Linked DNA regions of Arabidopsis thaliana. The protein of the gene in region 2 interacts with the protein of the main gene of each other region in a pairwise test. Each region holds a gene or a part of one and is shown on either strand. Other genes may lie near its edges. The genes, in order: AT1G32580, AT5G55100 and AT2G29210.

Region 1 (3,759 bases), on a different chromosome or scaffold from region 2:
AGAGTTGACAACCAATCCTTCTAAAACTTCCACAAATGAATAATGTTAGATTCCATCGCTTCTCTCGCAAATCCATTCGCCTCTAAAACAATTCTGGAAGAACTCAACTTCTCCTCTATATTCTTCAGCTCTTGGTTGTAGTTTTCAAAATAAATGGTGGCACACCATTTACGAGAATCAAAACAATGCGCTCCAAATTCCTGATCCCGTAAGCGAAATGATAGGTAGACACGTTGATCAGCTGAGTGGATTTCCCATCATACCGACAGACTCCATTCTTAGGTTTGATATATGTTTCAAACACGTATAAACATCATAACATTAATCAATATTTTTTTCACTTGTGTTGGATTCTTTCTTTCTTTGTTCCCTGTATACTTCAATATTATCTTAAGAGTAACATAGAATATATGTCATCAGATAGTAGGAAGATTGCTTCAGCCACTAAAAGCGAGAGCTCAACCCCTAGTCCTTCAGCCTCATCTTTCTGCTTCTCATTGGTGAGATCAGTCTCTTTAGTGTAAGGAATATTATTGACTGACCTAAAAGGTAAAGAGAATATCTAGATTGTAGTAATCTCTTATTGTTACGGATAACACCGTGAGCCATTGACATTGATTTCATCTTTTTTGAGATGGTCGAGATGTCTGAAGGATTCATCGAATATGGCTCTAGATGCAGTTTTTTTTTGGGGGAGATTTCAAATCTATGAATCAACATATAACGAAACAAAAATCAGATTAAATATATCACAAAACGTTCGATTCAATCGGGCAAGTGAGAGAAGACGAACCCTAGATTAATAGAAAGAAAATAAACGATGCAGTCACCTTGTTGTTGTAGTGTTCTCTGAAAACTTAATCTTAGACGAATAATATCTATTTGTATATAGGAAAAAGGCTTTAATGCTTTGTGGATTAAAAGGATATATATAGAGGAAAGTAAGGAAATAAATATTTATGAGGAAATTTGGTAGAAGATAAGTTTTTATCTTAACTAATGATATTATTTTATATATTTTAAAAACAAACCCCCGCGGGAGTTATAGATTGCTTTAATACTAACATTAGTAATGCAAAAATACTATACTACTAGGATTTAACCTGTGGTATACCACGGGGCAAATATTTTATTTATATATAGTAATCTTAAATTTTACGGTTTTAAATTTAGTATTAAAATTATATAATTTTATATTAATATTGTAAAAAAAAATTAGTGATGATAGAATAATAAATAAAGATTTAACCCGTGTTATATCAATGCAAACCCGTCCCACTATATAACTCGTCTCATAATATTTTAATATCTTTTTATAAGGATAAATATTAATAATGTTTTATAAAGTTAAAATATATCAATAATAATATACCATTAATGCTAATAGATCCCCTTAAAAAAGAATATTAGTGTGTAGTACATTTTAGATTTGAAAAGATTTAAATGATTGTTGTGATATATTTATTTTAATTCTAAATTTTAGTAACAAAATTGATTTATATTTAGATTTGAGAAGAAATTTGTTAAAATATTAAATGCTAATGGCATTGGATGGTAAATAAATCCCAACTTGAGGATTTATTTCATAAAAGTGCTGCAAAAATGTATATGTAGATAAATCTATTTTAACATAATTTTTCTTTTATTTATATATTTAGTATTATTAATTTTATTTAAAAAAATTAAAACATAAGACAAATATGATGTGTTATTTTCCCTTACTTGTATTTTATTGTTCAAATTTTTTCTATTAATAAAGCTATTTAAAAATATTTTGACTAATTATTAGAAATAAAACTGCCAAAATATGTACATGTTTAGCATATCTATTAGTAAAAAAGTTTTTCTATTAATCAAACAATTATAGAGAAATATAATTTGACTAAAAATCCGGGTTGACACTTCCCATTTATACCCTTGATCTGAGTTTTTTGTGATAATTTCATAGATTTGTTGGTTCTGGGAAATAACTTCTAAAAAGTTGTATGTGTCATATGCTGCAAAAATCTAATCGTGAATGGTGAATTCTAAACAAAGACGTAAAATTTTAAGGAAAACATAAATCTTACCGTGAAACTTTGAGTCAGTCGAGATACCATATATATTAGAAAAATAAAAGACATATATAAAGAGAATTGTGGTTGTTAATGAGAGACACATTTCTCTTAACTCAAATCCATCTATTTCATACTAATGCCAAAATTCCAAACATCTAATCCAACTTCTCTCTCTGATCAATCTCCAAATCTTCATATGCAAATCCCCTAATCGAATGTCTTACTCACAATTGTATGTTCACCTCTCCATTATTGATTTTTTTTATTTAACATATATAGAGATTTGTTGTAATTGCACTCGAACCAAAACAATAAAACATTTGTTATTTCAAAACCCTTTTCCAAGACGAAAAAGAAAACCCATTTCCATAGCTAACCTAGTGTGAATTTTGTTTTCTCAGATTTAACCTCCTCAAACGGTGAAATGGTAGGATTAATTTATCAAAAACTTACCTATACGGGTTTTATTTCACTTATGATAAAACGATTCGGCCCATTAACCCATTTTGTTTTTCTGCTAACCCATTGGCCCATTTAGAATTAAAGAATCATCTGATTTAGTCATTTCGATGGTTTTCACTTAAACCCTAGTCTAGTCATTTCTCAGACTCTGACCTCACTGATCTCCAATGGCGAAAACCCTAGCTCGCTCCACAGCGTCACGCATCACCAAGCGCTTAATCTCCACCTCCGGAGCCACCACTCCTTCCCCTTCTTATATCCTCTCCCGTCGATCAACCCCGGTGTTCTCCCATGCCGTCGGATTCATCTCTTCCTTGAATCGTTTCACAACGATTCGAACTCGAATGGATAGGTCCGGTGGATCGTACTCTCCTCTAAAATCCGGTTCGAATTTCAGCGACCGAGCACCCACTGAGATGGCGCCGTTGTTTCCTGGCTGCGATTATGAGCATTGGTTGATTGTAATGGACAAACCTGGAGGCGAAAACGCTACTAAGCAGCAAATGATTGATTGTTATGTTCAAACCCTAGCTAAAATTATCGGCAGGTTAGGGTTTCTTTCAATTTCGTTGATTCATTAGTTAGAAGAAGCATTTAGTTATTGTAATTAATAATCTCTTGTTGTTTGTTTAATCAGTGAGGAAGAAGCTAAGAAGAAGATTTATAATGTATCGTGTGAAAGGTATTTTGGATTTGGTTGTGAGATTGATGAAGAGACATCAAACAAACTTGAAGGTATGTCTTGTTGTTGTTGTTGTTGTTGTTGTAATGTTGGCGATGTAATGGATGGTTGTTGATTATTGTGTGTGTGTTTCAGGACTTCCTGGTGTTCTCTTCATTTTACCAGACTCTTATGTTGATCAAGAGAACAAAGATTACGGAGGTGAGTTTTATGTTAATACTGTTGTTAGTGATTGCTTTAACACAGTCTATGTTTCGTAGTTCTCTGTGTGTTCTGTTTTGTGTCATAATCGATCAAGACTAAGCTTAGAACTAGAATTTTCATATATCTACTCTCAATTAAGCACAAAATCTCAGGCGTTGTTAATGTTAAGACTGTGGAGTGTGGAAGTAGAATCCGTTTCCTGCACTCAACTAGACATAAGACTCTTCTGTGTCACTTTTGTGTGTTCCATGAGTTGTTCCCTGTAGAGAAGCCAAAACATTTTGATTCCAGCCTTAAGTGTCATCTTTGACACCGATCTTTAGTCTGTTTGTTTGATAGAGAAGCTGTTTGTTT
Region 2 (3,759 bases):
GAAAATTACTTATTGATTTTATTTGTCGTGAAAACCACGAACCACTAATTTATATATTTCTAAATAAAGCAAATTGAAGCTATATACATCCTGCCTCTAATGGACACTTGCTTTAACTTGAATTCTAAAGTTCTCGATCCGCATACGCCCAATCAACCACGATTATATAATTTAATATATGAAAGGCCATTTTTACATTGTAACTTGTAACAATAGAATAATATGAAAATAATCTATATAAGTCAATAAATAAAAGTTTTTACTTTAGAAACACATGAGCAAGCTTTGTAAGGCTAAGTTCCTTCCATCGTCACTAGTCTTCTGTTCATATCAGACAATCTCTTACATAAATGATGTACAACTCCGTTCTCTTTAGTCTTTTCCATGGAGTAATTCAACTCTTTTTTTCATTCTATCTCTAATCTTCTAATATGGTACCATAGTTCCAAGTATAATTACCCGACATATGATTTCTCATAGTATACATATATAGTCAGTGGCGGATCTAGAACCATAATTAACCCGAGGCACAACATATTTATAAATTTTTAAAATAAAGTACAATATGAACATTTCTTAAAAGACATGTAAATGGAAGAAAATTTTTTGAAGTGTCAATCAACATTGGCAGTACCTTATATTAGCATAATTCCTTCAAACAGTTATAGAAAAAGATAAATAAAGTAAAAATAAGTTAAATACTGAAAACATTTATTACTTGAAAATAGTAAAATTAATGAGTAATAACCAACTGACTAGAAAAAAAGTCACTCTAACATGGGGCACAACAAACGAATTCTTTCATCTACAATACAAATTGCACAACAAACTTCAAAATTATCAAATCTTGCATGGGGCACGTGCCCCAGTACTTATACACTTGCGTCCGCCAATGTATATAGTCCGTTTTGTAGTGATATGTCCGAGACAATGAATATCTCACATTACAAATGAAAATACAAGGTATATAGATCTTTCCACTTTATTTTAAGTTACAAACAAACCCGTGATTCCTGATATAAATATGTGTAATGGAATCCGAATTATGATGTCCATTAGTACGATGATGACCATTAATTAAACTAATACAACTTGCTTTGTTAAATGTATGTTTTTGCATAAATGTGTACAATCTATATTTAGTTTTTGAAACAGTTATATAAAATTTGAATGTCCCTATAGTAGCTTACACTAATATAGCTCTATACACCAACGATCGAACTATCGAAGAAAATTCTTGAATAAACCAGTCAAAGACGTCCACAAGGCACAAATATTATATACGGTGTTGAAGAAAGCAATAGAGAGAGGTCAACGCTTTCCTCCAATTTGTTAAACAATGTATAAACTTTACGTCAAAAAAGTCAAAACCATTCCCTTGTTGCTTATTGGTCATTTTCCGACCTATACGATAATCTTATTGTTTCTCTACGATATCTTTCTGTTGCATTAACTATTAAGCCACACGCAAAGTCGTTTTACATTAACGTTAGTTTAATTAGATAACGTTAGTTTAATTAGTATTATTTCTACAGAGTAATTGCTTTCGAAACTTTTGAAAACAATGTGCCATACAGGTTGTTCAAACATGGTTAGATAGATGCATAAAATTACAAAAATTATATAGAGAGAATATTAAATCACTTAACCATTGTATCATGAGGAGATAGCTTGAAAGCCCTGACAAAGAAAGAGGGTTCATAAGTTACCTAAAAAAGAAAGAAAGAGAGCTCATAATATTTTCATCAAAGTAAAAACTCAATGTGGATAACCGTCACATCAAGACGAGGCAGATACTAGATTGAGCAAAATTCTCCAATGAAATCACAAATGTTGAAGCACTTTAAATTTGGAGATTTCACTGCTTTTTCACTCTTAGGGTGGCTTACATTTATTAAAGTTAAGGTTATGGGGAAAAAATATAAACTTTCTTAAGCAGGGTTGAAAACGCAAAAACATAAAGAATGCACGTCGTTGTTAGTTATTTTCTCCCAAATGCGTGTGGTTTTATTACTTTTCAAACGGCAAGTAAAAAAGTCTTATAAACGACGTCATTTAGTCGACTTGATCTCTTTTGTAAGTCATCACATCTTTGGGTCAATCACGAATTTGGAACATCCGGTTCCAAATTACGGATTACACAGACCCTAGCCTCTTCCCCAAATCCCAATTCTCCATTGCTTTAGAAGAATCACACAATGGATCTAGAGATTGTTGGTCGTCACGCTCTCTTTTTCGACGATGATTCGATGGCAACGTTTGTCAACTCTCCGACGGCGCTCGTTGACTGGAACAGCCTCTTTATTGACCGCTACGATGTTCGTCATCTCCTCTCTTCTCCTCCTCCTCCACGTATCAAACGCCGTCGTCCGAATTCAAACGATGCTGACTTGGAATCGGAGCTCGATCACGAGCGTTATCTAGATTTACCGTCGGAATCTCCATCTCCGTCGGATGATGATGAACACGGTAAGGATGATGAACTCCGTAGAAATCTCCGTTAATCTATATGGTAGAGAGACTCGAACTAGCTATGTTAGAGACATAAAACTGTTCTAGAGAATGATTACGAAAAATTCAGATCGAAACTTAATTTGTTTGCCCTTTGGATTTGCTTTACTCTCCAGATATGAATGAGGATTCAGCAAATACAAATGCGGATGGTTATCGTGCTGTCTCTTTTTCATATGGAAGCTCTAGTGATGTCAATGACCAGAAAAATGCTGCTGATATGGAATCTGGATTTCACCCGCCTTTCCCCGTGCCTGATTACTTACGTCAAAACCTGGTAAGTTATTGCTTTAGATTGTTCCCTTTAGCAGTATGCTAGTTTTTGCTAACTTATTTGGTACTTAAACTGATATTGGCCACGTAAACATCTGAAAGGTGCATTTGTTATTCTAAGGACTACTATGTCTAAGTTTCAGATGCTCGGAGAAGAGATGGAGTTGTCTAAGGTTGTCATTCACATGCACCTTGTTTCCTTTTGCTGCCATGACAAGGGGCAGTGCAGGTGGGATTAAGATGATAAAAATTCATGACTTACCAAGAACCTTAAAACTGATTGCACACCAGATGATGCATTTCTATACAGTTCTGAATTTTGCAATTTATGGTTCTCGATACTTATGTGAGGTTTTATTATGTATATATACCTGCGAGTTGCCAAAGGTGTCATTCATCATATTTCACATTACTAATTTTTTCTTGTATATTTTTTTTCTCTCTTCTTTCAGCCTCCAACTGAGAAATTACATCAGATTATCACTAGGACTTCAAGTTTTGTAAGCAAACACGGTGGGCAATCTGAAATTGTCTTGAGAGTCAAACAAGGAGACAACCCTACATTTGGGTTCCTAATGCCAGACCATCATCTTCACCTTTACTTTAGGTTTCTTGTTGACCATCAAGAGCTTTTGACAGGAAAGTCTTCTGTAGAAGAGAAAAAGAACGAAAGTGAGAAGGATGGTGGAGCTTTGTCATTGCTTGGTTCGGTTTATGGGACTGTAGAAGATGAAGATGCTAACGAAGAGTCTGCAAACGACTCCAAAACAAGTGAGTCCGCCAAAGGTGATGATGGTGTTAAGGTAACTGATTCCAATGGACCTGAAGGGTCGAAAGGAGCTGCAAAGATTGCCTCTAAGCATTCTCTGCCGTTGAATGATCATGCATCTTTCATAAAAAGAAATCCCTCTGTCAGCGCAGTAAATGTTGTAGAGAAGAAGCAGATCAATACAGAAAAACTTGTGACGTCTGATA
Region 3 (3,759 bases), on a different chromosome or scaffold from region 2:
TGTAATTGGAAAGAAAAAATAAATTAAATAACGAATCTTAAAAAGTCTTCCAAGTTGATTTTTTTCTTTACTGACATAAATTTTGCTTTATATATCATACAAATACGTCAAAGTCCATAATTTCGATGATGGTGATGACAAAAGAAAATATGTTATTATCTTTTGCATGACATGCCCTCATATATGAAACTGAAACACAGAGTTATGAGCTCATCTATATATACATTTTTGCTGCTACTTTGTGAAATAAATACTGGAGTTGGGATTTATTTACAACGGCTGCCACTGGCATTTAATAATTGTTTTTGATAATTAGAAAGAAAATCTTCTAATTAAATATTTGACATTTAACAATCTTCCCAAAATCTCTCAACCTTAACTACACGATTAATTACTAAAATAAAACTTCTAAAATATTTAATATCATTTAATTACTACAAAATTATCATTTTTGATATTGCTTTTCTGCATGATTATAATCATCAAACCGTAGAGATATTTGATAGCATTTAATTACTACAAAATTACAAAATATTTAGACAATAATTCATAAACATATCATAAATAAAATCAACATTAATAAAATAAATGAGTTTTTTTTAGAGGACGGGTTGGCGGGACGAGTTTGGCAGGACGTTATTTAATAACAATTGTAAACTATACAATAAAAATATTTTATAGATAGATAAAATTTACAAACTTTTATATATATTAATTAAAAAAATAAATTGTTTCCGCGGTGTACTGCGGGTTAAAATCTAGTCTAATACAATATTAGAGATAACTATAGTCATTGCTCTCATTTTTCCATTTGCATACTTATATGTTCTCAATTCTCATACCTACCTTATATTGTGTGCCCATACACCTTCCATGCGCACTTGTTGTCCACACAAATTACGATCAAACAACTGTTATATAGTTTCCACCCACACTTTCACCTATGGTTTAAGAAACATAAGTTACTCTAATGTAGTAGGACGAGTTGACCAAACCTAACTCCTTCATTTTGTTGCACCAACCCATATTTTTACCGAGTAATGCACACCCCAAAACTTATAATCATAGTCATCTTCCTTTCACGTCCCATAAGGTTCACATTGATTACTCTAATCTATTTCACTTTCAAGATTACCACCACATGTAACTTTTCCATTCCTTTTCCACATTTATCTCTTAAACCTCAAACACTTTCAAGTTTCATCTTCTCTCTCTCTTATTAACTTCATCTACCAACCCTACTTAACCTAAAACCATTTTCAATTGCTTAATCAGTCCACACAATGCACATAAATTTCCGTGACCACACTGTTCGTTTTAGAAGAAAAAAACCACTTCCAAAATTGCATATGTACCAATAAGATAAAATGTTTTACTCATTCAAATAGACCTACGAGATTAATTAAGACTAGGTTTGCTTTGGGCTAAAACTGGCCCATAAGCTATGGCAATTGAAACCAATCAGATTACAAAAAAGGCTTGTCAAGAAGATGAGACCGAACATGTTCCAATAAATGGCAATAACGTAATTCTCAAAACCTCTGAGGGTAACAATGGAAAAACAAAATGAAGTGAGTCCGATATAGCTAGGGCTCGTTAAAAACTCTTCAAAATCTCTGTGGAAGCCCCATTTTCACATCTAAATCTCACAAATCTCTCTCAAGCTTCGATCTTTCTTCTAGAGACGAGCTAGTGCTTCCACAAACCCTAAACTATGTCCGGCGGTTTCTTCCGGGTTAGTTTTCCGATCAATTTTCTCAATTGATCTCTCATCTTTTAGATCCAGATCGATGCAATTCAAAAGTTTTGTTGAAGTTCCCATGGTTTAATAACTTCTTTGTTTTGAGCTTTTAGGGTACTTCCGCCGAGCAGGATACTCGGTTTTCTAACAAGCAAGCTAAATTGATGAAAAGCCAGAAATTTGCTCCGGAGTTAGAGAATCTGGTGAGTTTTCTCTTTGTGTACTCGTCCATTTTAACGATTTGTGAATTCGTAGCTTGAATTTACTTAATTGAGATTCGATTACCAGATAATTCGATACATATGTTACTATGAAATTAAGTTTGGGGAGGGCTTAATGATGTCTTCTACTTGCCTTGGTGTTAGGTGGATATCACTAAAGTGAAGATGGATGTTATGAAACCTTGGATTGCGACTAGAGTCACTGAGCTTCTTGGTATTGAAGATGAAGTGCTGATTAACTTTATCTATGGTCTGCTTGACGGGAAGGTAAGCTCATTACTGAGATTTTATTTTTCTGAGCTTTTTATTCGACTGTTAATAAGTGACAGAGGGGTAGTATGATTTCGTAGCCCATGCCATTGATACAAGTGATTTTTTTTTGTTGGACTAATATGTAATTGAACGTTCACTATGTATGTAGGTAGTGAATGGTAAGGAGATTCAGATAACGCTAACTGGATTCATGGAGAAAAATACTGGCAAATTTATGAAAGAACTTTGGACACTTCTTCTAAGCGCACAGAATAATCCAAGTGGTGTTCCACAGCAGTTTTTAGATGCTAGAGCTGCTGAAACAAAGAAGAAACAGGTATTCTTGGGAACTCATTCTGAAGTTAGTTTGGTGAACGACTTGTCTCTGTCCTACTGTTTCATGATTATTATCCTTTATGTGGCAGGAAGAAGCAAATGAAATAATGAAGAAGAGGGAGGGAGATAAGAAGAACATTGAGCACGATATATTGAGGAAAATAGTAAGACGTTCTTATTCATGCTAGAGTTTCAGCTTTAGAGATGCTCTTCTGGTTTTAACATTCGCCTGTTCTTTCATGTTATTCAGATAGCTTCTGCAATTATTAGGGTTCATGTGCTTTACCTCAACTACTGTAGGACAGCGGTGTAGAACATAAGGAGACAAATGGCATGGATGCAAAACCTTCAAGAGATCGTCCAGAGGATGGGAGAAGGGCTGACGAGAAGAATGGTGTAAAAGAAAGGAGAAGGTAGAGTTCTCTTAATGCCTATGATTTCATAGCTACTCTCTACTCATCGCTGTATTCCCTTGTGTACTTTATTATTGATTGAGTTCATCCTTCTAGTCTACTCATAACTTTGTACGTTGATTTTCTCTATAAGAACTCGTGGGCATGAGTTGTTCAAGTATTTCTATAAATGACTGTTCTGGGTCTTCTAGTCTTTTAGCATTTTTAGGTATGCTACTGGTACTTTGCATGTGCATTTGGTTTGCTGGTGGTCCAGGAATTTGTTTGTGGCCAAGATTATTATGTAAGTGGGTTCTGACATTGCCTCCACTTGATGCAGGGATCTGATACCTCCACGTCGCGGAGATGCATCCCGCTCACCCCTTAGGTGACTCTTCAATAGTTTTGTTTTTTCTAATACAATTTGCTTATATGTGCAAGTATATATTGATTGGTTGCTTTACAGAGGGTCACGTTCTAGGTCAATCAGCAAAACAAATTCAGGCTCGAAAAGTTATTCTGGGTATGTAGCCTTCTGCAATTGTTTTTCTTAATCCAAAGAAATTGTAGCCTGTGATGTGTAGCTAGCTAGTTCTGTATCTATTATTTTCTGTAAATCCTAGTGCAGTTTTTGCTAATGCTGTCTACTTTTATAACAGCGAACGGAAATCCAGGAGCACATCTCAATCATCAGATGCCTCCATCTCACCTAGAAAGCGAAGATTGTCGAATTCAAGACGTAGATCCAGATCACGTTCCGTGCGTAGGTCTCTGTCTCCTCGGCGACGTAGGATACACTCTCCTTTCAGAAGCAGGT

Evidence for each region.
Region 1: the proteins of AT5G55100 (region 2) and AT1G32580 interact in a two-hybrid assay, tested with the Arabidopsis thaliana proteins (one large-scale study listed by BioGRID).
Region 3: the proteins of AT5G55100 (region 2) and AT2G29210 interact in a two-hybrid assay, tested with the Arabidopsis thaliana proteins (one large-scale study listed by BioGRID).

Annotation. Positions count from the first base shown.
Region 1 is NC_003070.9:11,781,422-11,785,180, forward strand, and holds the start of AT1G32580 (plastid developmental protein DAG), read left to right. Parts: upstream 1-2,121; 5' UTR 2,122-2,686; coding exon 2,687-3,066; intron 3,067-3,156; coding exon 3,157-3,254; intron 3,255-3,336; coding exon 3,337-3,402; intron 3,403-3,759. Other genes in the region: AT1G32575 (uncharacterized protein), read left to right, coding at 129-212. UniProt on the Arabidopsis thaliana protein: Involved in organellar RNA editing. Required for the processing of few RNA editing sites in mitochondria.
Region 2 is NC_003076.8:22,363,104-22,366,862, reverse strand, and holds the start of AT5G55100 (SWAP (Suppressor-of-White-APricot)/surp domain-containing protein), read left to right. Parts: upstream 1-2,038; 5' UTR 2,039-2,198; coding exon 2,199-2,469; intron 2,470-2,627; coding exon 2,628-2,788; exon of another isoform or gene 2,789-3,236; coding exon 3,237-3,759.
Region 3 is NC_003071.7:12,556,442-12,560,200, forward strand, and holds the start of AT2G29210 (splicing factor PWI domain-containing protein), read left to right. Parts: upstream 1-1,537; 5' UTR 1,538-1,714; coding exon 1,715-1,735; intron 1,736-1,854; coding exon 1,855-1,944; intron 1,945-2,106; coding exon 2,107-2,229; intron 2,230-2,383; coding exon 2,384-2,551; intron 2,552-2,639; coding exon 2,640-2,714; intron 2,715-2,850; coding exon 2,851-2,963; intron 2,964-3,282; coding exon 3,283-3,330; intron 3,331-3,408; coding exon 3,409-3,465; intron 3,466-3,601; coding exon 3,602-3,759.